3 linked regions of the Drosophila melanogaster genome follow. The protein of the gene in region 3 interacts with the protein of the main gene of each other region in a pairwise test. Each region holds a gene or a part of one and is shown on either strand. Other genes may lie near its edges.

Region 1 (5,455 bases), on a different chromosome or scaffold from region 3:
GAAATAAATAAATAAAAATTAAATTGGCTAGTTAAAGTGTTTTGTTTGCTGTAAAACGCAAGCACAACGAGGATAGCGGAGCACACATACCGCGCAGGAAGAGTGTGAGATCTGGATTTGTCATCAGTCGACCCGCCCACCTCTTAATTAGGCGAAAAACCTTGAATTCCCTGGAGAGACCCCTGCTACAATGGGCAATAAACAGATAAAACAACAACTGGAGACGGCCCAGAAGACGGGAATCCTGAAGATATCCTTGCAGCGGCTGCAAGAATTCCCACTGCAGCTAAGGGCCTACCCGAATGTCCTGAAAACCCTGGATCTCTCCGAGAATCGCTTCGAACGTGTGCCCGACGAACTGGGCAAGCTGACGCTACTCAAGCACCTCAATCTAAGCGGAAATCGACTGGTGGAACTCAACGAGGTGGTGGGCGAACTGGCCAAGCTGGAGGTGCTGTTGCTGATGGACAATATGCTGACAAGGCTGCCCAAAACCCTGGCCAATTGCACGCACCTGAAGACCGTGAATCTGAGCAACAATCAGCTGAAGGAGTTCCCCTCCATGCTGTGCGGTCTGAAGCAGCTGGATGTCCTGGACCTGTCCAGGAACAAGATCACCGATGTGCCCGCCGATGTGGGCGGACTGTTTGTGACCGAACTGAACCTTAACCAGAACCAAATATCCTCGCTGGCGGAGGAAGTAGCCGATTGTCCCAAGCTGAAGACACTGCGGCTCGAGGAGAACTGCCTTCAGGCAGCGGCCTTTACACCCAAGATCCTCAAGGACTCGAAAATCTGCAACCTGGCCGTCGACGGCAATCTGTTCAACTCGAAACAGTTCACCGATCTCGATGGCTACGATGTCTACATGGAGCGGTATACGGCGGTCAGGAAGAAGATGTTCTAGACTCGATTCAGATCAAATCCCTTTTTTTTTTGTGTGTACCCCAGCCTTTATTTATCCGAGTAAACTAATTTAATAGCTTAATTCAATATGTGTAATGTGTAAAACGATACGAATAAATCGGAAAAAGACAACTTTAACAAGGGCGAGCAAGTAAGTTAGTTTGAAAATGGTAAGTGCAAAATAACAAACAATTGCGAAATCCTATTTCCTTTATTAAAAAAAAATGTTATGATTCAACTTCAATACAAAAATTAGTGAATAACATATACGTATGTAGAAAACAAAAGACCAGCCCCACATCACAGCTTTCCCCGCATCATGGGCAACAAGTGGTTGTGGAAGGACGAGTTGACCGGCTCCTGGTTGATCGGATTTCGGCGTGCCTCCTCCATGAGACGCTCGTACACCCGGCCATCGTGACACCCCAGCGTGGAGCCCAGGACACGATCGTGAAAATCGAATCCATCCACCAGAGCCACCGCATTGGGTCGCAGCTTGGCCAGCAGCTCCTCAAAGCGACGCTCCACGAAGCGCAGTTGGGTGCCAGTGATGCCGTTGTTCCAACGCAGCACGCATCCCGACTGTCGCAGGAATGTATCGATGACGAAAAGCTCAACCAGTTGGCCCAAGATGAGTGAGACATTCGGGCTAAGATCGCCCTTCTTTCGAAGTGCTTCCACTTGCTCCAGTGCATTGCGTGTGAAGAATGCGTGAGCATGGGCTATGGCAGCCGAGGTGAGCTGCCTTCCAGCCAGATTGCTGGCCATCTCGGGACTCACCTTGCCGGATTGGTGCATCTTCTGGGTCTGCCAAGCATCACGCACCTGCTCCATGGCTGAAATCTCCAGCGCTCGCACACAATTCGCAACCAGATTCTTGCCCCAAATCAAACGGGCTGTATCCCTCAAATAGGAGACACTGGAGGGCAGCACCTTGCGTTTTAAGCTATCCGCATACTGCCGGACGAGGAAACGAGCTGTCTGGAGCAGGAGTACTGTGTACTCTCCCTCGTAGGTGTATGTGGCGGCGGTCAGACCATAGATGCTATCGAAATTCGCCGAGGAAAGGAATCCGTGGCCACCGCAACTCTTGCGCAGCAGATCAACTCCCTCGCTGGCCTCGTCGGTGGCCACCGCCTTGAGGCAGCAGCTCAGGGCGTGCAGCTCCGGCAGGGAGTTGCGTCCTTTCGTGCTTTCATCCTCCAGTTGGCGGAGTACGTCCTCGTAGAAGCGCCACAGCCAATCGGATACCAGGCGATAGGACACTCCTCGAGCAATTTGCGGTAGAATCTTTGCCTGCTGTGTGATGTGATCCAAAACAGAGACCTCCGGCTGATCGCTGTTAATCCGGCTCTGGCGACGCACCACGGAATACCTAAAGATAATGATAATTATTATCTAAAGAACCCTGGGTGAGCTGAATGTGTTTTATGGGCTTAATAACAGCTATGATAAACATAATCCCCAGAAACTATATAATCACCTGGTGGCAATGGTGGCAGCCTGGAGCAGTCCAAAGAGCACATCCTTCACGGTAATTACCCGCACATAGACCATTGTGCCGTAGAGCAGCAGCGGAGGTCTACCCTGGACGAAGGTGCCGTCGGTCAGGACTTGGGCGTTCTTCATCAGCATTTGATTGCGCGGTATCCGCACGTCGCGGAGTCCCAGAAAGCCGTTGTTAACGCCATTGCCACCCAGGCGAGGTCCTATATCGCCCACATCGACTCCAGTCAACGGTTCGTGTGTCCTCTCGTCCCTGATCCTCACCACAAATGATTGCAAGCCATAATGCTTGCCCTTCACATATAGCTGGGCCAGCACAATGGCCACATTGGCGGTATTACCAAGTCCGCCGGGCCACCACTTGTATGAACTTTGCGTTGGGGTGTTCAGGATGAATTCCTGCGTGATGGGATCGTAGTCGGCTCGGGTTTCCAGGCCCCGGACAAAGGTGCCGTGACCCAGCTCCGTTTGCGCATAGGTGCCCAGGACGCCGTCCATGTGCCAGGATCGATTGAGCCACTGGGCCTGCTGCTCCTCGGTTCCCTGGCTCAGCAAGGTGGTCATGAACATGGAGAAATGCACCCGAAGGGGGAAGCTCTGCTGGAAGAGGCCCGTGCCCAGGGATCCGGAGAGTAGCAGCCGAAAGTCCCTCAGCATATTCACACTAAGCTGAAGTTGTGGCTGCTTCTCCCGCTGCCATTGGCGCAGTTTGGCCAGGAAGCGTGTGGATCGGGCCACGGTCTGTTCGTAGCGCTCCTTGTATGACAGACAGCTCGGATGCACTGGCTCCGCGAAGTCGGGATCCTCATAGAAACGCCTTTCCAGGGCGCGGCGCTCCTCCAGCTGCCCAGAGCCACCCGCCCACCAGCGGGCAAAGTCCTCGCTGTCCAAGGTGGCCGCCGCCCGCTCTCTCTGCAGATCCGCATTCACAGACATGATCGCTCTATCTCTCCTTCCCGATCTCTCTTTTCCTAGAGTTTTACTTTTCTACGGGATTTCCCAACTTCTCTGCTCGAACGACTCGATTGCACTGAGAAGTTGGTGGCTGGAAGAAACAGTTCTGCAGCTCGAAACATGGCAGCCAGGTCACCAAAGGCGGGGATAGCAGGGGAATATGGTTGGTTATCAGTGATCCGAAATTAAAGATGAGTTGCCAATTAATATACCGGGATTCTTTATACATTTACCACATTATACTCATAAAGGATGCAGTGTATAAGCTATTTATGGATAACTTATACAGAAGAGGCGATCTGGAACCCCTTTGGATGGTCCATCCTGCCTACGCCTTTGGAGCCCCACCACTGCCTCTCTTTCGCGCTCTGCCCGCTGGTGCTCCAACCGCCGTTGTTGCTGCATTGGAGTCACTGAACTGAGAACTGAGCCACTCTCAAATTGCTTGAGCGCCTTAGGGTGGACCATATTCCGTATTTGTCGAAAGTTTCTCAAACTGCGTCTTTCTTACAAGATGCACTTATCATGTTTTAGATTTCGTATCCTAGGTTGTATATTTGGACGGAATTTGTTTCTTACTATTAACTCAAACGCTGATTTGTGTGTTGGTCCACCCTAGCCAAAAATGGCACAAAGTGCGTAAACATCTGATGAGCGGCATTATCTCCTAGTTTTTTAGTTCAAGTTTTTTTTACCGTAGATAAGAAAATCGTAAATATTTCTTGTTGTTTTTGTTTTGCAAAAACCCACAAAGCTCAACAAACAATTATTTCTTTTTCGTACAATAACATTTTTATTTCGTGGATTTCTTGTTATCAACATAACGTTTCTCAATTGGATGACGTTTAGAAAATCTAAGATAACCCTATGGGCCATTGTCAAATTGTTTATAAATAGAAACTAAAAGACATGGAAAGAGCGATTTTATTTATATAAATAAATAAATATATTATTATACATACGAGCTTCTGCAACCTGGATTTTAGGACAAATTCTCAATTTAAATTTCCCGCTCTTCAAGAATGCAACATAAAATATAAAAAAACACTGGCCATTTTAATAACTATAAAGAGTAATTATTATAATATTATTGATGTGCCAAAAATGCAACGTGAATTACAATTTATTTTACAAGAAAACATAAGTTTTGTAATAAAAAAAAGCTTAGGAGTACCCCTATTAAAAAGTTTTCAGCATAAAAGCTCGTCGAATGTGTGACCAATTGTCGGAGTAATTTAGTGGCGCCCGACGAATGGCCACACTGCCGGCCAGCTGATCGCCCGCGTGCAGATTTCTCGACTTTATTTTCCTTATTTGGCTGTTGTTGTTTTGGGCCGCCGGTACCGCTTAGCTTTCTGTCTTCCTCTCTCTCTGTCTTTCTCTCTCGCTCCCACCAACGGCACCGCCATGGGTAAGAACACGAAGCGCAACAAGAAGACAAAACAGCAGCAACAGCAGCCACAACAAAACGGAGTAACTGCATCCGCATCCGGCACAGCAGTCGAGGATTTTGAGGACCAGCAGGCGGCCAGTTCGTTGCCCAGTTTAAACGGCAAAAAGAGGAGCCAACTAAACAAGCTCGTCGAGGAACTGCTTGACTTGGTGGAAAAGCAACCGGCGAATCCCAACGAGGAATGGAAGCAGTACGGGCAGCTACAGGAGCTGCTCAAACAAATCATGATCCTGGAGGAGCCACTCAGCCAAGCAGTGTGTCCGCAGATCAGCGATTCCCCCGACGATCAGACCCGTCTGGCCAAAGTGGAGGCGTTCAGTGCGTGGGCCAAAGATGGCGGAGTTCACAGTGAGGGACTGGAGATAGCCATCTTTCCCGGCTACCAACTGGGTCTGCGGGCCACCCGACCGTTGGCCAAGGATGAGCTGGTGCTCAGCGTGCCCCGGAAGCTCATCTTATCCGAGGAAAACAACTCCGATTGCCGCCTATTTGGCAAAATGACGCAGGCCACCCACTTGAACCTGGCCTATGATCTGGTCATCGAGAAGATCCGTGGCGAGTTCAGCGAGTGGCGGCCCTACATTGATGTTCTGCCTGCCAAATACAACACCGTGCTATACTTTACCACCAAGCAGA
Region 2 (4,970 bases), on a different chromosome or scaffold from region 3:
AACGATAGCCACTCGCCTAAGTAGCTCCTTGGATGAGCCCGACCGATTGAGGCTGATCAAACTCCTTCTAAGCGGTCTGCAAGGACGCACTTTTGAGGGCAAAGAGCGGCTATTGCAAGCTTTGGCCGCACTCACCAAAGGATTGGATCGGAACCATCAAATCTGTTCCAGCATTATCGACGCGGCCATGAGGGAAGCAAGAAAGAGGGAACCTGTTTACCGCACCATGGCCCTGGCTTCTCTTGGCGAAATTCTCGATCAACTGGAAGCGGATCGCTTTGAGGAAGTGTACAACATGAGCTGGAACCTGCTGGAAAAGAAGGAACTGCGCAAGGAGTCGGACGACGAGGACGAGCCCAACACCAGTCAGGAACTGTCTGCCGACGAGCGCAACAAGCGGGCTCAAACACTCAATCGACTAAAGGAGGTTGTGTGGGAGACACTGGGCAAATCCTGGCCGCGTCACTCCATCGAGACGCAGCACCGCTACCAACTCTTCTTTGCCGAAAACTGTACGAGCATTCTGGCGGAGAGCACTCGCCCAGTGCAAGTCAGTCTGCTGGCAGCACTCACTAAGTACATCGAAAGACTTCATGTCTTTGATGAGTCTGCTCAAGTGCCGGATTTGACTCAGATAAACCAGGAGAAGAAGATCAAGACAGAGGAGACGGCGCCAAAAACCCGAGAGGCCATTGTCGAGAAGATATGCACAGATGTTTTGGCTGCAGTTGCTCTTGCCGCTGGAGTTCCTCATTCCGGTTTGAAAAAGGAGGCGCTCAACATCGTTCTTATGCTGATCAAGCGGCTGAGCGGAAGCGGAAACGGAAACCAGCAGCCACTGAGGTTGATCAAGCAGAGCTTTGAATCGAATTTGGAAAAGTTCCAGCGCGATTCGGCGCCGGAAATCCGGTGTCGCATCAAGGACATCGAAGACAAGCTAAGCAAGTTGAATCCACAGAATTAAGTCATATTAATATAAGCATTTCAAGGATGTGTGTGTGGCCAAAAAATCTGCCTTGGGTAGATTTTATAAAAGGGGGTAAGCGTTAAAAGAAAACATCTAACTTTGGCAAAAATGAATAAGTAACTTGCATGAAGATAATTTTCTATTGTGATTCATTGATCCAGGAGTGTAAGGAAACCTTAAATATACTATCATAAATACTTTCAGTTTCGTTTTAAGTTCAAATTTTAGGGAGCTATTTAGATTATCTATTCTATTTAGATTATAGGAACAAAGGTGATTACATATCACAGCCGATTGTTTTAGGATGCCTATAACTCTACAAACTACTCCTGCAGAATCTTAGGTATATCTCATTCTCAGACTCCAACATGAAGGACTTTGGATTAAAGCGAATCTCCGATACTGTTCGCTCGCAAGTCTCAACCCAATATTGCTTTAAAATGTGCACTATGCCCAGTTTCAATTGGAGTACGCCCAGGCGACTACCAATACAGCCATGTGGACCTGCTCCAAAGGGTATGTAGGTCATCGGGTGGATGTGCCTAGATCGCTCCGGACCGAATCTCTCGGGATCAAAGACGCAGGGCTCCGGCCAAAACTGGAATTTAGATTGACATAAGTAAGTTGGGATAATCATCACCTTTGGTTTTAAATCTAACCCTTTCATCGCGATGGAGGCCGAGTATTGAGATGTATGCTGGCATCCCTGGTGGCACTATGAAATCCACATGCGGTTGCAGTGAGAATCCCTCGGATGCCGAACTGGTGCACTCTCTGTTGACGAAAGCAGCAGCCGGATAGAGACGCAGTGCCTCCAAACACACCATTTTGAGATAGGGCAAAGTCATCAGTGTGTCATAGCTTAGGGTAGCAGTGGAGATGAAGGCTTCTCGTAGCTCACTCCTCAGTCGTTCTTGAATATCCGGAGCCTTGGCCAACTCATAGAGAGTGAATCCCATCAGGGCTGAGGAGGTTTCAAATCCGGCCAGCAGTATGATACCCGCCTGCGAAGCAACAAAGTCCGGATGCTGGGAATAGTGGTTGGATGAGCGGCTCAACTGAAAGTGCTGCAATTGATTGATGAGATCTCCTTTGGTGGGCTCGTGATGATCATCTACCAAGTGCCTCATATAGCGCGCATAGTCTTCGGTAAAAACTTTGGGCTTCAGCACACCCGTCCACTTGGGCAGAAAGAATACACTCATGAAGTCCAAAACCTTGCGGGGATTGGTGTTAAATAGCTCCTTGGTTTTTGTTATCAACTCGGATCGACCACGACGCAATCCGCCGACATTCAGGCTGTAGAAGAGATTCCCCGTCACGTCGGTGGTGTACAACTGGCACATTCTTCCCAACGGGAGAACGCGCTCCAGCCGATCCCCCAGCTTCCTGTTGAGGTACTGCTCCAAGTCGCTGGCCACATCCAACATTTGGCTGTACATGACATCCCGCATACGGCCGCTGGTGAAGAGCTGGGACATGCATTGCCGACTCTCCTTCCAGTGATGGTACTTAGCCAGCGGTAGCGTCAGTGCACCCATGGGATCTCCGGCGTCCGCCGATTCGAACCGGTTGAGAAAGTTGTTGAAATTCTTAATCAACACCTGGCGGATTAGCTCCGGATCCCGAACCATAAGCGCCGGCGTTTGGAATATGAAGAAGCCAACGATCTTCGCCTGACCATTTCGTGGATCTGCGTAGAGCTGCCGAAAGAGATCGCCAAAAGAAATGCGCAGAAATAGAAGTTGTCCCAAATTGCCCATTGGTGACCAAGAGGAGGGTGGCAGGTGCGGAATCCCACGGCTCCTGAAGTAATCGTACTTGTGCCTTAACCAAAAATTCAGAGTCACAATGGTGAGCAACAGCAGCCAGATGAGCAGCATGGTGTCTATAAGATATAAGATAGAATATTATAACTATGAAATATATACCAGCATTAGGTAAAGATAGCTAAGATCCAAAAAGTCGTTCTTTTGAATGAGGAGGAGACCTTGTTCACGACCGTCAAGAAATGCATTTCCATATGCATAAGTTGAACCTGACCCACTTAACATCTCGACAAGCACTTCCATTCACAAATAGATTCATTCATTGCACTCAGGATCATCTTGATGATCTCATAGTAGAGTTTCCGCTTACCCAAAGCTTTAACTCTATGGTGCTGGCAATATTTCAGCCAGTTGGACATTGGGTTTGGTGGCGTTAGCATGGAACTGGTACTGCTGATCCTCGTGGCATCCCTAATAGGGATTGCCTTTCTGGCGCTGCAGCAGCATTACTCCTATTGGCGGCGAATGGGAGTACGCGAAATCAGGCCCAAATGGATAGTGGGCAACCTGATGGGACTGCTCAACATGCGAATGAGTCCCGCGGAGTTCATATCGCAATTGTATAACCATCCCGATGCGGAGAACGAACCCTTCGTGGGCATCCATGTGTTCCACAAGCCGGCGCTGCTTTTGAGAGACCCCGAAATGGTGAGAAATATCCTGGTCAAGGACTTCGCTGGCTTCTCCAACCGGTACTCGAGCTCCGACCCCAAGGGCGACCCTTTGGGATCCCAGAACATATTCTTCCTGAAGAATCCCGCCTGGAAGGAGGTACGTTTGAAGCTATCGCCCTTCTTCACCGGCAATCGACTGAAGCAGATGTTTCCCCTGATCGAGGAGGTGGGCGCCAGCTTGGATGCCCATCTCCGCCAGCAGCCGCTGCACAACGAGCGGATGCGCTGCTTCGACTTGGAGGCCAAGGAGCTGTGTGCTCTCTACACCACGGATGTGATAGCCACGGTAGCGTACGGAGTGAGTGCCAACAGTTTCACGGATCCGAAGTGCGAGTTCCGCCGCCATGGACGTTCTGTGTTCGAGTTCAACCTGCTGCGTGCCGCGGAGTTCACTCTAGTGTTTTTCCTGCCCCACCTGGTCCCGTTCGTTAGATTCAAGGTGGTGCCGGCGGAGGCCACTCGTTTTCTGCGCAAGACCATCAACTATGTGATGTCGGAGCGGGAAAAATCCGGACAGAAGCGCAACGATCTCATCGACATTCTCATTGAGTTCCGTAGGAGCACGCAGCTGGCGAAGGCATCGGGTATCAAGGATCAATTTGTGTTCGAGGGCGACATCCTGGTCGCCCAGGCGGTACTCTTCTTCACCGCCGGCTTTGAGTCCTCCTCCTCGACCATGGCGTTCGCGATGTACGAGTTGGCCAAGGATACGGACGTACAGCAGCGCCTGCGGGAGGAGATCAAGGATGCACTGGTCGAAAGTGGAGGTCAGGTGACGCTGAAGATGATCGAGTCACTGGAGTTCATGCAAATGATTCTGCTGGAGGTGCTGCGCATGTATCCGCCACTGCCGTTTTTGGATCGCGAGTGCACTTCTGGGAGGGATTACTCGCTGGCTCCGTTCCACAAAAAGTTCGTGGTGCCCAAGGGCATGCCCGTTTATATACCCTGCTATGCCCTGCACATGGATCCCCAGGTGGGTTGAGATACATTTTGCATACATTACCCAACGACTACCCTTTTCCAGTACTTTCCTCAACCGCGAAAATTTCTGCCTGAAAGATTCTCGCCCGAGAATCGCAAGCTCCACACGCCCTACACCTACATGCCCTTCGGCCTGGGTCCGCATGGCTGCATCGGAGAACGTTTTGGATATCTCCAGGCGAAGGTGGGTCTGGTTAACCTGCTGCGCAACCACATGATAACCACCTCGGAGCGCACACCCCATCGCATGCAGCTGGATCCCAAGGCCATCATAACCCAAGCCAAGGGCGGCATCCACCTACGGCTGGTTCGCGATGCTTTGGGCGTCTAACTCACCTGAATATGGGATATGGGATAATCTGGATACTTCTTTCCTGGGTGGTGAGACTATGGAGCCTACAACAACTGAATGGAAACTAAGCAGCGGAGTCGCGTGTTTGGGGATTTAAAATTGAGCTGGTGTCGCATCTTAAAGGCAATTTGATTGGCAAATTGCGTGTTCCATCGCCGGTGAAT
Region 3 (3,977 bases):
TCGTTTGCACCGCCTGCTTAAGGATCTGCCAGCGGATTCAGTGCAGCGGCGTCAGCATGAACAGCAAACAGTTGCCTGGCTGGATGGTAGTTCCGTCAAGTTGTGTCCCAGTTGTGCCAAGAGTTTCCACATCGCCCGAAGACAACACCACTGCCGTTTGTGCGGAGGCATAATGTGCAATGATTGCTCCAAGTTCCTGCCCCTGGAAGATGCCAGTTTGTAGATCCAATAATTGAGGAAAATAATGTAACTTATTTGATTATAATCCCGCAGTGCAACTAGCCAGTCTTTCCACCACAAGAAGCGAGCCCCTTCAGCAGCTGCATCAGCATGAGAACGCCATCCGGCTGTGCGAACACTGCCTTTGGCTGCTGGACACCCGAAAGGATATGCACGAAAGTCGCACTTGTCGCCCACTCCTCGTCCAGGTCTACGAACAAATTCGTCAACTACAAAAAGAAGTTACCCCGGATCTGGACATGTATCTAAAGATCATCAATAGCTTGAACGAAGGGGACACAATCTTCACGTTGGCGGATGCAGGTGCTTTGCGCGGCAAGATTGGACAAGTGGCAGAGGCCATGGACATGAGGAGCAAGCGCATTCTAGCCATATTTTGTGAACCAGGCAGCCGGGAGGAGGCATTAAAGAAGGCCATTCGGTTGGGCTGCATCCAAGCCATCAAGGAGCGAATGTTATCGCTGCCCCCACTGCCAGAGGAATCGCACATACGCCAGATGCAGGAGCGTAGACGCATGGAAACGGAGCAGCGTATCCTCACCGAACAGCGCATGGCCATGGAAGCCTACGAACGAAATAACATGGCAGCTAACCAATCCAACGTTGGAGTTCCTGGTCCGGAAAGCGGATCCTTTGCCCAAGGGGTATGTAGACGAGGACTCTCTGCAAAGATCAATATGTAACCTCTGTGATTCCATTTGCTTCACAGTCTGATCTTCAATCTCTGAACAACTGGTCAGCACCGCAGGCGGCTAGCAAGTCCAGCCTGGACGATCCGCTGATCGAGCAGATAAACATCATTAAGGGCTACATCAAACAGGCTCGCCAGGACATGAACTTTGAGGTGGTGGAGACGCTGGAGCTAAATCTTCGCGAGCTACAGCGCGAAGTGTACGAGCGACAGCGCCAGTCCCAGGGAAGCACCGCCGCCTCACCCACAGAGGCCTAAGCAGTATCCTACATAGTTAAATGTATATTCATTCCCTCTATGACAAATTACATGGCTTACGTTACGTTACGAATTTGTGGTGTATATTGTGCGAAAAATTTTAGTTTGTGCGAAGTTTCTGTAAATCAAAGTTTGTGCGTTTGACGACAACTGAGACTATAAAATGCAACATCCTATTTCGATTGAGTCTATGACTTCAGGCCAACGGCAGCGATCAGTGCCTTGACCTTGGTAATGTAGGCGGCCTGGGCGTCGGTATTGCTCATTCCCTTGCGGTTGTTCCACGCCTCCCACTTGGCCTTGCCCTTGAAGTCCAGAAAGCCGGGCTTATCTGCATTGGATTAGAATTATCGATGGTGCAGCGGAGTGACGACTATGTCCGAGACCCACCTGTATTGCAATCCCCCACAGTGGCCTGTTTGTACAAGCTGTAGAGCTCCAAAAGGTCATTGTCCCCGGGTGTGGTGTTTAGGTTCTTAACATCTTCGGCCGCCTGGTTGAATTCCTGTTTAGGTTAAGTTTGAATAGGTAATCAGACTTTAAGATACGAATGCGTATTTGACGTAGATTCAGTTCACCTGCAATTCGGACATTTTTGTATCTATTTTTTAACTAGTGGAAGTCTTTGGAAAAGAAATTGCACGATTTTACTTCACCGAATCTATCGGCGTCTATCGATATCTGGTCTATACTTTTGTGTGACCAACAGTTTTTCAATTTAGAGTGGACAAGCTGTTGCGTTTTATTTCGCGGGTCTGGCAGCCTATACACTTAAAAGATTCGAAGTCTAATTTCATATTGAGAACTGAGATACATTATTACGATGATAGTTAGGAACATGTGTAACAGTTGGTAGACAGTTTCTTGCCAAAACAATTGTGTTTTGAAAAAAGCTATGGAATAATATGAACAATATCCAAAATAGTCCGTTAAGATTTTCAAGACATTAACGAAATATTTTAAAAACCTTCCAATGTTGATTGTCTCAATTGAACATCTTTCAGCCCACTGTCCTGCTCTCTCCAAATGTGGCAACAAAAATGAGAGGCTTATGGCGCGTGAAACATGATTTCTATTAGTAACATATGGAGTAATGATGTGCTGTACGTCAACGTTTTGAACAGTTGTACATAGTAATTAAAATGTATCAATATTAAGAGGAAATTTAATATATAACTACTTCTTAAATACACAAAATACAATTGATTTCTAGCATATGTGGCCATATTAGACATCATCAATACATGAATTTAACTCATTTCATGATATGACACCCGCATAAACGCATTGTGAGAGCGGGAGAGCGTGGGTATTTAAGGAGAAGGTAGCGCTAACCACTCATTCAGTTCGAAATGTTTTCATCTGCGTTGGTCGTGCGTCCGGTGCTCCGCTAAAAGTAACAAAAAGTGCACAAATTGCCGGGAGAAAATGTTACATTAACGATATTTTCGGTTAATGCTGAGCACACGGATACGGATACTACGCTATATACGCAGTTCGCAACCAAAATCGATGCAATACGCGGATTTGGGCAAACACAACGCAGTGCCTGTAAAAATCGAAGCCGAAACGAAACAATAACAAATGCGCTAAAGTTCTTACCAAATAATTTGCACCGTCAGAAAAAGAGTGGTGAAAAGTGGTCAAAAGTGATCGAAAAGATCTGAAAAGTTCGTTAAAATAAAGAAAGTGTATGGTTAAGTGTGCGTTCCTGGTGATAAATCGGTAAAAATCGTTCGCTTTCGTTTTTGTTGTGGTCGCCGTTCGCAGAGCTTATGCAAATGTGGTAAGACACCGTGGAACTTGGCCATATTTTCTCTGTTTTGCTCGACTCCGAATGCCTAGCAACTCGATAAAAAGGGCGCTAAATAGCTGAAGCTGAAGGTCTTTCGACTCGTCAAACAAATTCGAGATTCACAAATAACAAGTGTGAAGAGCAGGCAAACAAGAAAACCAAACGCATTTGATTTCCCATTCTGATTTCCCGTGTTCTAGTTCTTTGTGTTTTTCTCACTTCTCACTTCCCCCTCTCCATCTCTTTCTGCCCCGCTGGCTTTTGTTTGACTTTCCTGGCCATAGCCCGATCACGCCATCTCGCTCGCACACCGTGTATTTTCAGCTGTTGATCTATTTTTAATTTCATTATCGCGTACTGCAAGTTTTTTAAATCCGTTTCTGTGTCAATTAGTTTGAGGAATTAGCGCAGGCACGGAAAAGCGTCAAATCAGCGCAAATAACTTTCATTTATTTACATTTCTCTGCCGCGATAAGCGTTTCAGTAGTAAACCCCTTTCATTTAACAAGTATTTACTTTCAAGTGCGGCGATAACACCACTAGAAGTTAACCCATTAGCGGTCAGATAACTCATGGTCATGGATGAACGCTTAAAACGCGAGTCATAATCATAAGTCAGATGGGAGTGGAGAACAAAATATTAGTACAAAAATATACATATATACTGAACAGAAGTTTCAAGTTTTTTTTACCGGATGTCCCTTTGCTCATCCAAGCTTTATAATAAGTTTAGTTTCGTAAATAAATAAATGTTTTTTTTTTTTTTTTAATGTTTCTAATATTTTGATAGCAGCTGCGTTCTTGCTTTGGGGATTAAAAACTGGGCTTTAGTCTTATCAGTCTTAGGTTTTGAGCACATGGCACTGCTGTTTGTTCTTTTGGGGCAATGTACATACATATGTAAATAAAGGTGTTTGTTTATTATTTACATACTTCAATTTTAAGCCGGCAGCACATGACTGCGTTTAAAATAATCATTAAAATCAAACAATT

Evidence for each region.
Region 1: the proteins of Acbp1 (region 3) and CG4586 interact in a two-hybrid assay, tested with the Drosophila melanogaster proteins (one large-scale study listed by BioGRID).
Region 2: the proteins of Acbp1 (region 3) and Cyp6t3 interact in a two-hybrid assay, tested with the Drosophila melanogaster proteins (one large-scale study listed by BioGRID).

What each region holds. Positions count from the first base shown.
Region 1 is NC_004354.4:6,967,911-6,973,365, reverse strand, and holds CG4586 (uncharacterized protein), read right to left. Parts: upstream 3,449-5,455; 5' UTR 3,349-3,448; coding exon 2,390-3,348; intron 2,282-2,389; coding exon 1,207-2,281; 3' UTR 1,101-1,206; downstream 1-1,100. Other genes in the region: CG3040 (uncharacterized protein), read left to right, coding at 191-907; Setd3 (SET domain containing 3), read left to right, coding at 4,774-5,455.
Region 2 is NT_033778.4:12,188,567-12,193,536, reverse strand, and holds Cyp6t3 (cytochrome P450 6t3), read right to left. Parts: upstream 2,856-4,970; 5' UTR 2,851-2,855; coding exon 1,627-2,850; intron 1,566-1,626; coding exon 1,284-1,565; 3' UTR 1,101-1,283; downstream 1-1,100. Other genes in the region: CG8858 (uncharacterized protein), read left to right, coding at 1-964; Cyp6g2 (cytochrome P450 6g2), read left to right, coding at 3,175-4,446, 4,498-4,785. UniProt on the Drosophila melanogaster protein: May be involved in the metabolism of insect hormones and in the breakdown of synthetic insecticides.
Region 3 is NT_033779.5:8,160,544-8,164,520, forward strand, and holds Acbp1 (Acyl-CoA binding protein 1), read right to left. Parts: upstream 1,910-3,977; 5' UTR 1,783-1,909; coding exon 1,768-1,782; intron 1,695-1,767; coding exon 1,580-1,694; intron 1,521-1,579; coding exon 1,378-1,520; 3' UTR 1,253-1,377; downstream 1-1,252. Other genes in the region: Rbsn-5 (Rabenosyn-5), read left to right, coding at 1-215, 274-884, 950-1,189.